Linked DNA regions of Caenorhabditis elegans. The protein of the gene in region 1 interacts with the protein of each later gene in a pairwise test. Each region holds a gene or a part of one and is shown in the gene's direction. Other genes may lie near its edges.

Region 1 (4,497 bases):
CTGCCACTGGCACATGTGTCATCCGCACTGTTTTTGTCGTGCTTTCGTAGGGATGACAGTGTGTGTTTAGTACTGGGAGGGTTACTTACCAAAATGACACTTCCATAATTGAGCCAGAGAACGGAACGATATAATCGAATAACAAATGAAGCAGCAATCGCATTACATTTCGAAAACCTGAATTTGAACACGTAATTTCTTTCCAAAAAGTGATGTCGGAGTCTCCGGCTCGGAGGATGAGCCCGACTTTTTCCGGGTTTTAGATGGGATAAGCTGTCGAGAACAGAATATTACTAATTGCGGCGCGGGACGAAGAAGCCGAAGCCGATCAAAAATCTGAACGTGAACAAAGGAGAAACTCCTCATTCTTGGTGTGTGGTTGAGTACCTAACCCTATCTACTAACCAAAAAGTTAATGTTTTACCAAAGAACCACACAGACCAACGTTTCTTTGTCTTGGCAATGTTCGTCGACGCCGCCAACTCACACCCCACTCATACATTTTCAACAGTGTCAGCGCAAAAAAAAGACGAATCTTTCTCTTTTTCACTTCTCACTTATTCTTTTGTTCCATTGTTCCGATAATTTAAAGACAAAATGACGAGGTAGGAACAACGAATTGCCGATAGTTGGAAACGGGGGAACTTTGTGTGCAACAAGACAATTGTGGAGCACATTTCAGGTGTATACTTGTTGGGAGGTATTCGATGAATTTTCTGCAAGGTAAACAACATTATTTTAAGAGCACTTAAGTGTTATAAGCTTCTGTAATGTTCTCGATCGGTTCAGAGTCCACACGAAAAATAATGCTTTGAATTTCGAAGTAGTATGTGAAAAGGAAATTATAGTGAATAAAATAAAATAGGTGATCTTCAAAAATGGTCACGAAAGTTACCTAGGTCTAAGCATTGCTTGGCACGTCCAACAAACTTTCATTCAAACATTCTTGTTTGCTGATCTAAACTGCTGAAATTTGTCGAACATCCTTACGATGGATAAATTTTTTCAACCGGTTTTGGCCTCCATGAGTTACTGTGAGCAAGTCAAAAAAATAAATAATTACTAAATGTTTGAAAAAGTCCCACAGGCGTACTCAATTTTTAAAATATACTTACGGCCTTGCATTGTAATATTTTCCGTAAATGCAATTTTACTACAGATTGGATAAGTCTAATTATTCAATTTTGGAAACCAGCAAAATTGGTCTAAAACTGAAATGCAAAATCTTTTTAAAAACTTGAACTCTGTGATGCGCCTCGGACTTATAGTTTGTGTTCTTTCAAGCGCTCAAAAATTGGAAGAAAACAACAACCGTTCCAATTTTATTTCCGTAGAATTTTATGATCAGGAACAAAAAAGCACAACAAAATTGAGAAATACTCGCATTCCATTCCAACATTTATTAAATTATGAAATTATTTGAAAAAATAAATTAAGTAAGTGAAGAACGCCTGACAAACAGTGAACTTTTCGCAAAAAAGAATATCATTTGTGTTCCAAAAACCAGAAGCTTGCAGGCAAAAAAATCCTAGATTCTCTCAAGAGCACATAACCAAGGTTAGAGGATTTCTATACATATTTGATAAAAGCAAACAAAAACATGAATCATCTCAGTGATTTTTCCAAGTTCTGGGTAGGTTCAAAAAGTAATGAGAATTTTCAATTTGCGGTTTTACCAAAATCATAGGGGTTTATTCATTTAGGAATAATTTTATATGAATATTTATTGGTATAAGACGTTTGATCGAGCCTTAAATGTTTTGACAATCATTTGGAAGAAGACTATATTTTTGCGTTAATCTTCTTGATTAAAAAAAACCACCATGAGAACAGCTTATGGGAGTAGTTCATTTTGGAACGATAGTTCTTATATATTGGGGGGGGGGGGGGGGAATATGTTTTATTATTACGATTTTTAAATTAGAAAACCGACAAAAAAATCTGTTATTAGGGTCAAAAATATCAATTGAAATATACTATTGCATGCACTACTACTAATTAGAAAAATTCGGTATCTTGTTGGGAAACCCGCTATTTGTGAGAATGTAACTATGGGAAAATATATAGGGTAGAATGTATATTTACGGGTTCTCCTTGCAAGCATTAAAACCTCATTCTCATGATTGTTTTGCCATGTTCTTTGCTTTTTCATGTTACTTTGTTTATATGTAAGCTCTTTGAATTTTAAATGAGAATAAAAATTTCTAGTTATATTTCCATAACCGTAATTTTCCTATACAACTTGTACCTCCATTTTTCTACTTTAGCAGGTTATATCTCGGTCGTCTAAAATTTTCCAAAAAATGTTCCAACATCAAAATGTAAAAGAAAATATTTTGCACATATTTTGTTAATTAACAATTTTTCGATAAAATCAGAGAGAACCAAGATACAAAATGCAATAGTAGACAAACGGGATCATATATTTTAATATCGTTACTTGCCTTTTATGATTTTGGTCTAAAGATGCACCATCGTTACACTTCTCTTTTTCTCTACTCCTCCACACTCTCTCACCCTCCCCTCACCACTATGTCCCCCTTCGCACATTATCGATTCCTGCAGGCCTCTACAAATTCAAACTCAAAATGAGCATTTCTCTGGAGAGTAAAACAAAACTGCCTCAAAAAATTCTAGAAATCATCACAGATGGTTCAGCTTTGCTTTCGATTCCGATGAGCAGCTCTCAAGCGTCGGAGGTAAGTGATTTTCAAAACATTTTAGTGTTTAACAACTGCGATCATTTTTATTTATTTTCCAGACCCTTCTCACAAGTGCAAAACAGTTTAGTCATGTGGAACAAGTTATAGACAATACGGATAAGGTAAGATATTTCAAATTTAAGTTTAAATAAAATAATTGTAAGCCCTTTTTTAGCTTCTGCGAGAAATCGAACAGATGGTAGACGGGGTAACCAAAAATGCTGAGGATATGGAAAAAGGGTGAGTTTTCAAAAAACCATACTTGAAAAAAATTTAGACGGAGTGTCGTTTTTGGTATTTTTGGTTTAATATTTATCAAATAACCTCAAAATGACATATAAAAAAAATGCAGAAATCATTGTGTGAAACACGATGTAAAATGTGAAAAAACAACGTCGACAATTTTTTTGACAAGACTTGCGCAGGAATTTGTATTCGCGGAGTACTTTTGCTAAATTATTGGCATTGAAGCTTTTTTAATTTTGAATAAATTTGATAATTTAAGTTTAATTCAAATGTGCCTTCAAATCCGTACAAATATTTAAGCTCACCGTACAAAAAAATCCTGCAAGATAGTATTTCTGTCCGCAGCCGTCACTATTTTTTTCGGCTAGTACTTTTTGTTTGATATATATGGTATATTGTGGTCTAATGGAGCATTTTTCAAAAGCATCGAATGTGAACAGTGTATTGAAAAAAGTTTCAAACAATAATAATGGAAAAATTATATAATTTATTCACTGACTTTAATCATAATTTTTAAAGCATAGGTTATCAAAAAGTTGTATTGTTTTTTTGTTTAAAAACCTACAAAATGTGTTATTCTATGTATTATATCTTGGATTTCAGATTGGATATTGTATGCGACGTTCAAGAATGTCTTCAAAAGGTGGAACGTCAAAACTACTACAGCGCGGTGCCCAAGTCATTTTCTGCCGACAGTTTTTCATCTTCTGTCGCCGGTGAACGTCCCAATCCGCCGAATAATTAATTTACGTTATGTAATGATTGTAACAATAATTTTTAACTAATTTAAATCTCAAAGATTTGATCTCAGTGCAAATAAAAGGTGTAATTAATTAAGTTTTAAAAATGTTTTGGAAGAAATAAATAAAATGTAGAACTCACGCATTCCCGTAAGTGCTCTGTTATTTGGTAAGTACATGATAGTCATTTAAATACAAAAAAAACTAAAATTCATTAAACTATTCTAATGTAACTTTTCCAATTCTTCGATCCAACAACAGTTTTTCCAAAAAAAATGTATCTGATTAATAGACAATTGTTTTATTTCTACATATGATAGAGAGAATGGATTAGAAAAACAGAATTTCAAACTGAAATTTCTTGAAAATTACTATTCAGTGATTGTAAATTTTGATAATTTTCACCGGCCGGGACCGCAACTACAATTCAGCACTTTTTTCAAATTTTTGAACCCGCATAAAATAATTTGAAATTTTTTTTATTGAGAATTCACACTATGAAATTCACGCTTTGGGCATTTGATGTTGTTAATTTATTTAAATTTTTAAAAAAACGACATAATTTCACCTTAAGCAGTTGCTAGCATGCAAGGATCAGGGATGTTAAAATAAAATTCATAATTTTTCGTATCTGGAGTCATTTTGTCAGATTTCACTTTAAAAAAATATCGCCAAGAACATGAGTAGCTACACTTCTCAATAAGTGACGTTTCCGTGGCGTTTCTATGGAAAAGCGTTACTGAATTTTGTTCAGTTGTAAAAATTTATTTTAGTCGACAAAATGAATTATTTTTCCAAGTTGCAAGTAC
Region 2 (7,541 bases), on another chromosome or scaffold:
CTTAAGATGTAATTACGAGAAGCTTTTTTGAAAATTCTCAATTAAAAGAATTTGCCGATTTAGAATAAAAGTCTTCAGAAATGAGTAAAAGCTCAAATTAGAAGTTTGTTTTTAAAGGAAAAACACGAAAAAAGAACACTATTTATCTTTTCCTCCCCGCGTAAAATTAGTTGTTGTGATAATAGTGATCCGCTGTCTATTTGCACTCGGCTCTTCACACCGTGCTTCCTCTCACTTGACCCAACAGGAAAAAAAAACATCACGTCTGAGACGGTGAATTGCCTTATCAAGAGCGTCGTCTCTTTCACCCAGTAACAAAAAAAATTTGGTTTCTTTACTTTATATTTATGTAGGTCACAAAAAAAAAGTGATGCAGTTTTGTGGGTCGGTTGTCTCCACACCACCTCCGCCTCCAGCAGCACACAATCATCTTCGTGTGTTCTCGACGATTCCTTGTATGCCGCGGTCGTGAATGCACCACATTCGACGCGCAACTACACACCACACTCACTTTCGGTGGTATTACTACACGTCATCGTTGTTCGTAGTCTCCCGCTCTTTCGTCCCCACTCACTCCTCATTATTCCCCTTGGTGTATTGATTTTTTTTAAATGGTACACCACTCCTGACGTTTCTACCTTCTTGTTTTCCGTCCATTTAGATTTTATCTGGAAATTTTTTTAAAATTTTAGGCCAGAGAGTTCTAGTTCTTGTTCTAAAAGTCTAGGTCAGACATACATTTTCTATTTCTCATCAAAAAAAAAGTTGATAAAGAAAACTGGTTATTCAGAAAGAGTGTGTCTCGTTGAAATTGATTCAAAAAAAAATTCCCACCCCTCGCTTGTTTCTCAAAATATGAGATCAACGGATTTTTTCCTTCTCGATTCAATTTTTTGCTGCGCTCTGTCTGCCAAAGTGTGTGTGTCCGAGCAAAAGATGAGAGAATTTACAAACAGAAATGAAAAAAAGTTGGCCAAATAATGAAGTTTTATCCGAGATTGATGGGAAAGATATTAATGTTCTTTACGGTTTGGAGGGGAGAGAGAGATAGATTTTCGCATCAAACTCCGCCTTTTACATGTCTTTTAGAATCTAAAATAGATTTTTCTCATCATTTTTAATAGAAAATCGAGAAATTACAGTAATTTCGCAATTTTCTTGCCAAAAATACACGAAATTTGTGGGTCTCGCCACGATCTCGGTCTTAGTGGTTCATTTGGTTTAAAAGTTTATAAAATTTCAAATTCTAGTGTTTAATTTCCGCATAATTGGACCTAAAATGGGTTTTTGTCATCATTTTCAACAAGAAATCGTGAAAATCCTGTTGTTTCGCAATTTTCTTTTCAAAAATACACGAAATATATGGTAATTTCCCGAAATATTGAGGGTCTCGCCACGATTTCAGTCACAGTGGCCAGGATTTATCACGAAAAAAGTTCGCCTAGTCTCACATTTCCGGAAAACCGAATCTAAATTAGTTTTTTGTCATCATTTTGAACAAAAAATCGAGACATCCCTATAGTTTCGCAATTTTCGTCGCTTTTCTCTCCAAAAATGACAGTCTAGAATTAAAATTCGCTGGAACTGGGACCATGATATCTTTTCTCCCCGTTTTTCATTTTATTTTTTATTACACTGGATTGACTAAAGGTCACCACCACCGCCAGTGTGTGCCATATCACACACACACACACACACAATGTCGAGATTTTATGTGTTATCCCTGCTTGATTTCGTTCCGTTGTCTCTCTCTCTCTATTCATCTTTTGAGCCGAGAAGCTCCAGAGAATGGAGCACACAGGATCCCGGCGCGCGATGTCGTCGGGAGATGGCGCCGCCTGGGAAGCCGCCGAGAGATATCAGGGAAGATCGTCTGATTTCTCCTCGGATGCCACCTCATCTCTCGAGTTTCTCCGCCTGTTACTCCCTGCCGAACCTGATATTTCCCGTTGTCGTAAAGAGATGTTTTTATTTTACTTTACACCGGGTCCTCTCTCTCTGCCAGCACAGCTCAGTGTTGGCTGTGTGCTCGGGCTCCTGCCACCGGCGGCCTCATCTTCTTCTTCTTCTTCTCTCCTGCTCTCGCTTATCACTTCTTCATTCATTCTTATTCCTTTTCATCATCAAACTAGCATTTCTTACTTTATTTATTTTTTTCAATTTTCAATTTTCAGATAAAACCAAACTACTTGGGTTACAGCCGTCAACATGGAGGACGCGCATGCCAAAGACGCCAATGAGGTACTTTTATAGTTTTTAAATTTTAGTTTTTAATACAATTTATTTTCCAGGTGTGCAAATTCTTCGGAACGGGTCCGGAGGGATTGACTCCACAGCAAGTTGAAACATTGAGGAACAAATATGGAGAAAATGGTTGGTTTTTTACATGGATTTCTCATTAAAAATTGAATTTTTTCCAGAAATGCCCGCCGAAGAGGGAAAATCACTGTGGGAGCTGATTCTCGAGCAATTCGACGATCTTCTCGTCAAGATTCTCCTCCTCGCCGCCATCATCTCGTTTGTGCTCGCCCTTTTCGAAGAGCACGAAGATCAGACAGAAGCAGTGACGGCGTTCGTCGAACCGTTCGTCATCCTTCTCATTCTTATTGCCAACGCGACCGTCGGAGTGTGGCAGGTAGGAACAACACAGACAGGCGCACGCGCTGAAAGAAAATAAGAAGAAGAAGAAAAAGCACAGTTGTTTTCTGTGTTTTTGTAGATCAAAAGAAAGGAACTAGGAGTGATTGCACAGAGAGAGAGAGAGAGAAATAATGTCTTTTTGACTTGTTTTTGTTGGTGAGAGAGATAGGGAAAAAGAGTCCCTAAAGAAAAAATAGTGTAACGGGCGGTCCGGAAGAAATGCTCTTTGCGCCGAAAAGTTTTTGAAAAAAGAAGAAAATGATGAAGGAAAGGCGTGCGTCATGAGCTTCGCATTTACGTACGCAAAAAGTGAGGGATATGTGAAAAAGATATTGGGTGATAGAATAGTTGATGGATTGGGCTGCACTATTTGCCTCAATTTGCCACAAATTTCCATCTAATTTGTCATAATTTTCCAGGAACGAAATGCTGAATCGGCCATCGAAGCGCTCAAGGAATACGAACCAGAAATGGCCAAGGTCATCCGATCCGGACACCACGGAATTCAGATGGTTCGCGCTAAGGAACTCGTGCCAGGAGATCTTGTCGAAGTTTCAGGTTAGCAAAAACTTTTTTTTTTAACTTTCAAATTTTAAACCATATATTTTTCAGTCGGAGACAAGATCCCAGCCGATCTCCGTCTTGTGAAGATCTACTCCACCACCATCCGTATCGATCAGTCCATCCTCACCGGAGAATCTGTGTCTGTTATCAAGCACACCGACTCTGTGCCAGATCCACGCGCTGTTAACCAGGACAAGAAGAATTGTCTGTTCTCGGGAACCAATGTCGCATCTGGAAAGGCTCGTGGAATCGTCTTCGGAACCGGATTGACCACTGAAATCGGAAAGATCCGTACCGAAATGGCTGAGACCGAGAATGAGAAGACACCACTTCAACAGAAGTTGGACGAATTCGGAGAGCAACTTTCCAAGGTTATCTCTGTTATTTGCGTTGCTGTTTGGGCTATCAACATTGGACATTTCAACGATCCAGCTCACGGTGGATCATGGGTTAAGGGAGCAATCTACTACTTCAAAATCGCCGTTGCTCTTGCCGTCGCTGCTATTCCAGAAGGACTTCCAGCTGTCATCACCACGTGCCTTGCCCTCGGAACTCGCCGTATGGCCAAGAAGAACGCTATTGTAAGATCCCTTCCATCCGTCGAAACTCTTGGATGCACATCTGTTATCTGCTCTGACAAGACTGGAACTCTCACCACCAACCAGATGTCTGTGTCAAAGATGTTCATCGCTGGACAAGCTTCTGGAGACAACATCAACTTCACCGAGTTCGCCATCTCCGGATCCACCTACGAGCCAGTCGGAAAGGTTTCCACCAATGGACGTGAAATCAACCCAGCTGCTGGAGAATTCGAATCACTCACCGAGTTGGCCATGATCTGCGCTATGTGCAATGATTCATCTGTTGATTACAATGAGACCAAGAAGATCTACGAGAAAGTCGGAGAAGCCACTGAAACTGCTCTTATCGTTCTTGCTGAGAAGATGAATGTTTTCGGAACCTCGAAAGCCGGACTTTCACCAAAGGAGCTCGGAGGAGTTTGCAACCGTGTCATCCAACAAAAATGGAAGAAGGAGTTCACACTCGAGTTCTCCCGTGATCGTAAATCCATGTCCGCCTACTGCTTCCCAGCTTCCGGAGGATCTGGAGCCAAGATGTTCGTGAAGGGAGCCCCAGAAGGAGTTCTCGGAAGATGCACCCACGTCAGAGTTAACGGACAAAAGGTTCCACTCACCTCTGCCATGACTCAGAAGATTGTTGACCAATGCGTGCAATACGGAACCGGAAGAGATACCCTTCGTTGTCTTGCCCTCGGAACCATCGATACCCCAGTCAGCGTTAGCAACATGAACCTCGAAGACTCTACCCAATTCGTCAAATACGAACAAGACATCACATTTGTCGGAGTCGTCGGAATGCTTGACCCCCCAAGAACTGAAGTTTCGGACTCGATCAAGGCTTGTAACCACGCTGGAATCCGTGTCATCATGATCACCGGAGACAACAAGAACACCGCTGAGGCTATCGGAAGAAGAATCGGACTCTTCGGAGAGAACGAGGATACCACTGGAAAAGCTTACACTGGACGTGAATTTGACGATCTTCCACCAGAGCAACAATCTGAAGCCTGCCGCAGAGCTAAGCTTTTCGCCCGTGTCGAGCCATCTCACAAGTCCAAGATTGTCGATATCCTTCAATCCCAGGGAGAGATTACTGCTATGACCGGAGACGGAGTCAACGACGCTCCAGCTTTGAAGAAGGCCGAAATCGGAATTTCTATGGGATCAGGAACTGCTGTCGCCAAGTCTGCATCTGAAATGGTTCTTGCTGACGATAACTTCGCATCCATTGTGTCTGCTGTCGAAGAAGGACGTGCTATTTACAACAACATGAAACAATTCATCAGATATCTCATCTCATCTAACGTCGGAGAAGTCGTCTCCATCTTCATGGTCGCCGCACTCGGAATTCCAGAGGCTCTCATTCCAGTTCAACTTCTCTGGGTTAACTTGGTCACTGACGGTCTTCCAGCCACTGCTCTCGGATTCAATCCACCAGATCTTGACATTATGGACAGACATCCACGTTCAGCCAACGATGGACTCATCTCTGGATGGCTCTTCTTCAGATATCTTGCTGTCGGAAGTACGTTTAAAAAATTCCCCTAAAAAAGTATAATTCTAAAATTGAAATTTTCCAGCCTACGTCGGAGTTGCCACCGTCGGAGCCTCAATGTGGTGGTTCTTGTTGTACGAGGAGGGACCACAGATCACCTACTACCAGCTCACTCACTGGATGAGATGTGAAATCGAGCCAGACAACTTTGCCGATCTTGACTGCGCCGTATTCGAGGACAATCACCCGAACGCCATGGCTCTGTCCGTGCTTGTCACCATTGAGATGCTCAACGCCATCAACTCACTTTCCGAGAATCAATCGCTTTTAGTGATGCCACCATGGAAGAACATCTGGCTGATGGCCGCCATTTCCCTTTCGATGTCTCTTCACTTTGTCATTCTCTACGTTGACATCATGGCCACCATCTTCCAGGTATCACAATTAATCATATATTAATCGAAACATCTAATTCAAATCTTCAGATCACCCCTCTCAACTGGGTCGAATGGATCGCCGTGTTGAAGATCTCACTGCCAGTGCTCCTTCTCGATGAAATTCTCAAGTTCATCGCCAGAAACTACATCGACGGTAAGCCGGAGACGGTCGGCGCGAAGGCACGTAGTGCCATCTCGCTGCTCGCCTGGGTGTCTGTGACGCTCGCCTACTTTGCGTGGATGTTGGGCCCGTACGCCGAGCTCATTAACCATGCGCTCGTCGGTCCATCTGTCGATCCGTCGAAATTCGACGCGGTTGTCACGCCCGACAAGTTACATAACGAATTGTGATTGAAGTTCTTCTAACCCCCAAACCAACCGCCTCTCAAACAACTTGTGATGATTTCTCTTTATTTTCTCTCTCTTTCTTGTTCTAATCATTTTGGGCCTTTTTCCCTTTTTCTCTCTGCAGTGTGTTAACTGATCCATAATCCTTCGTGTAAACCCCCCTCTCCCTACTTTTAGGATTTCTTCCTCGTTGCTCATTGTATTTTGTCCAAATCGCCACAATTTCCCTACAAATATATATGTTTTTTTTGCTAATTTTTTGTGTTTCCCTTCCTTCTTGTCCACTGAAAGTTCTACGTCTCTCGCTCTCCACATCCCCATTGTTCTCCCCTTTTTTCATAATAATTTATTATTATCCTTTTTTTAAATTAATTTTTGTTGCGTGTGAATCTATTAGGAGCTCACAAATAAAAGTGATCCTTTAAAAAACCTTACTTCCTTCTGTTTTTTCTCTAACCTAACCAATGTGTCTGTTCAGGGAGTGCCTCTTTTCTTTACCGAATGGTGTGCAATTTTGTCGACTGTCGATCTCGTCCATGGCAATGCAGGATTTGAAACTAAATTTCCCTGGAAAAAGAAATAATTTTGGTGATTTTCAGTTGAAGCTCCAATCAAGGATAAACGCGACTAAAAATGACAGTGCTCCCTCAATCAGAGTGAGCCCAGCCGCCGCCCATCTCATTTTTCAGACTCTTTCATATTTTCTAAGTTTTCCAATTTTTTTTCTTTTGTAGTGCGATCGTTTTCGTTTCGAGACCCGAAATCGAAAGGATCTCTTTTAGAGATCTTTAGGATCTTTTTTCTTTGCTCAACTCATCATTCTTTGTTTTTTCTTCTATATCCTCTTGTTGACGGTGATCAGACAAATTTGTTAGAAATATTATTACATTTCCTTTAGGTTTCTTCTATTAAAAAAAAAGAAAACTTCTGCTAAATTCGTGTACGTTGTCTCTCCCATTTCTCATTAAAAATCGATATTAATTGTAATTTTTGGTTTGTCCTCCAGTGTCGTGTGCGCCATCGATGGAAATAAAAAAGTTTCAAAACTATTATAGCTTTTCTTTTTATGAAAAATATAAAATACAATTAGAATGTTTTTGTTAAATGCGATACGGTGTGCGCCTTTAAAGAGTAGAGTACTGTAGTTCCAAAATTTTGTTGGTGCGGGATTTTCATTGATTTTTCATCGTTTTTCGACAAAAATATATTTATTTATTGAAAAAAGTTAAATAAAACTATTAAAAACACAGAATTTTTAACAAATTGTGAAAAACACATGAAAAATCGATGACAATTCTACAGTAACGAACATTTTGAATTACAGTAATCTTTAAAGGCGCGCACACGTTTGCATTTAATTAAAATGTGTCGTGTCGAGACCGACTACCACGTCTCGTTATTATAGAACGAGCAATTACAGCCTAACATCAACTCAGAACAAACCAGGATCCCACGCAAGTTTAAAGGAGCATGCTG

Evidence for each region.
Region 2: the proteins of blos-8 (region 1) and sca-1 interact in a two-hybrid assay, tested with the Caenorhabditis elegans proteins (one large-scale study listed by BioGRID).

What each region holds. Positions count from the first base shown.
Region 1 is NC_003284.9:15,429,207-15,433,703, reverse strand, and holds blos-8 (BLOC-1-related complex subunit 7), read left to right. Parts: upstream 1-2,505; 5' UTR 2,506-2,588; coding exon 2,589-2,699; intron 2,700-2,761; coding exon 2,762-2,824; intron 2,825-2,877; coding exon 2,878-2,942; intron 2,943-3,551; coding exon 3,552-3,693; 3' UTR 3,694-3,785; downstream 3,786-4,497.
Region 2 is NC_003281.10:10,811,478-10,819,018, reverse strand, and holds sca-1 (Calcium-transporting ATPase), read left to right. Parts: upstream 1-2,174; 5' UTR 2,175-2,208; coding exon 2,209-2,241; intron 2,242-2,291; coding exon 2,292-2,373; intron 2,374-2,420; coding exon 2,421-2,635; intron 2,636-3,059; coding exon 3,060-3,198; intron 3,199-3,252; coding exon 3,253-5,310; intron 5,311-5,365; coding exon 5,366-5,715; intron 5,716-5,765; coding exon 5,766-6,068; 3' UTR 6,069-6,487; downstream 6,488-7,541.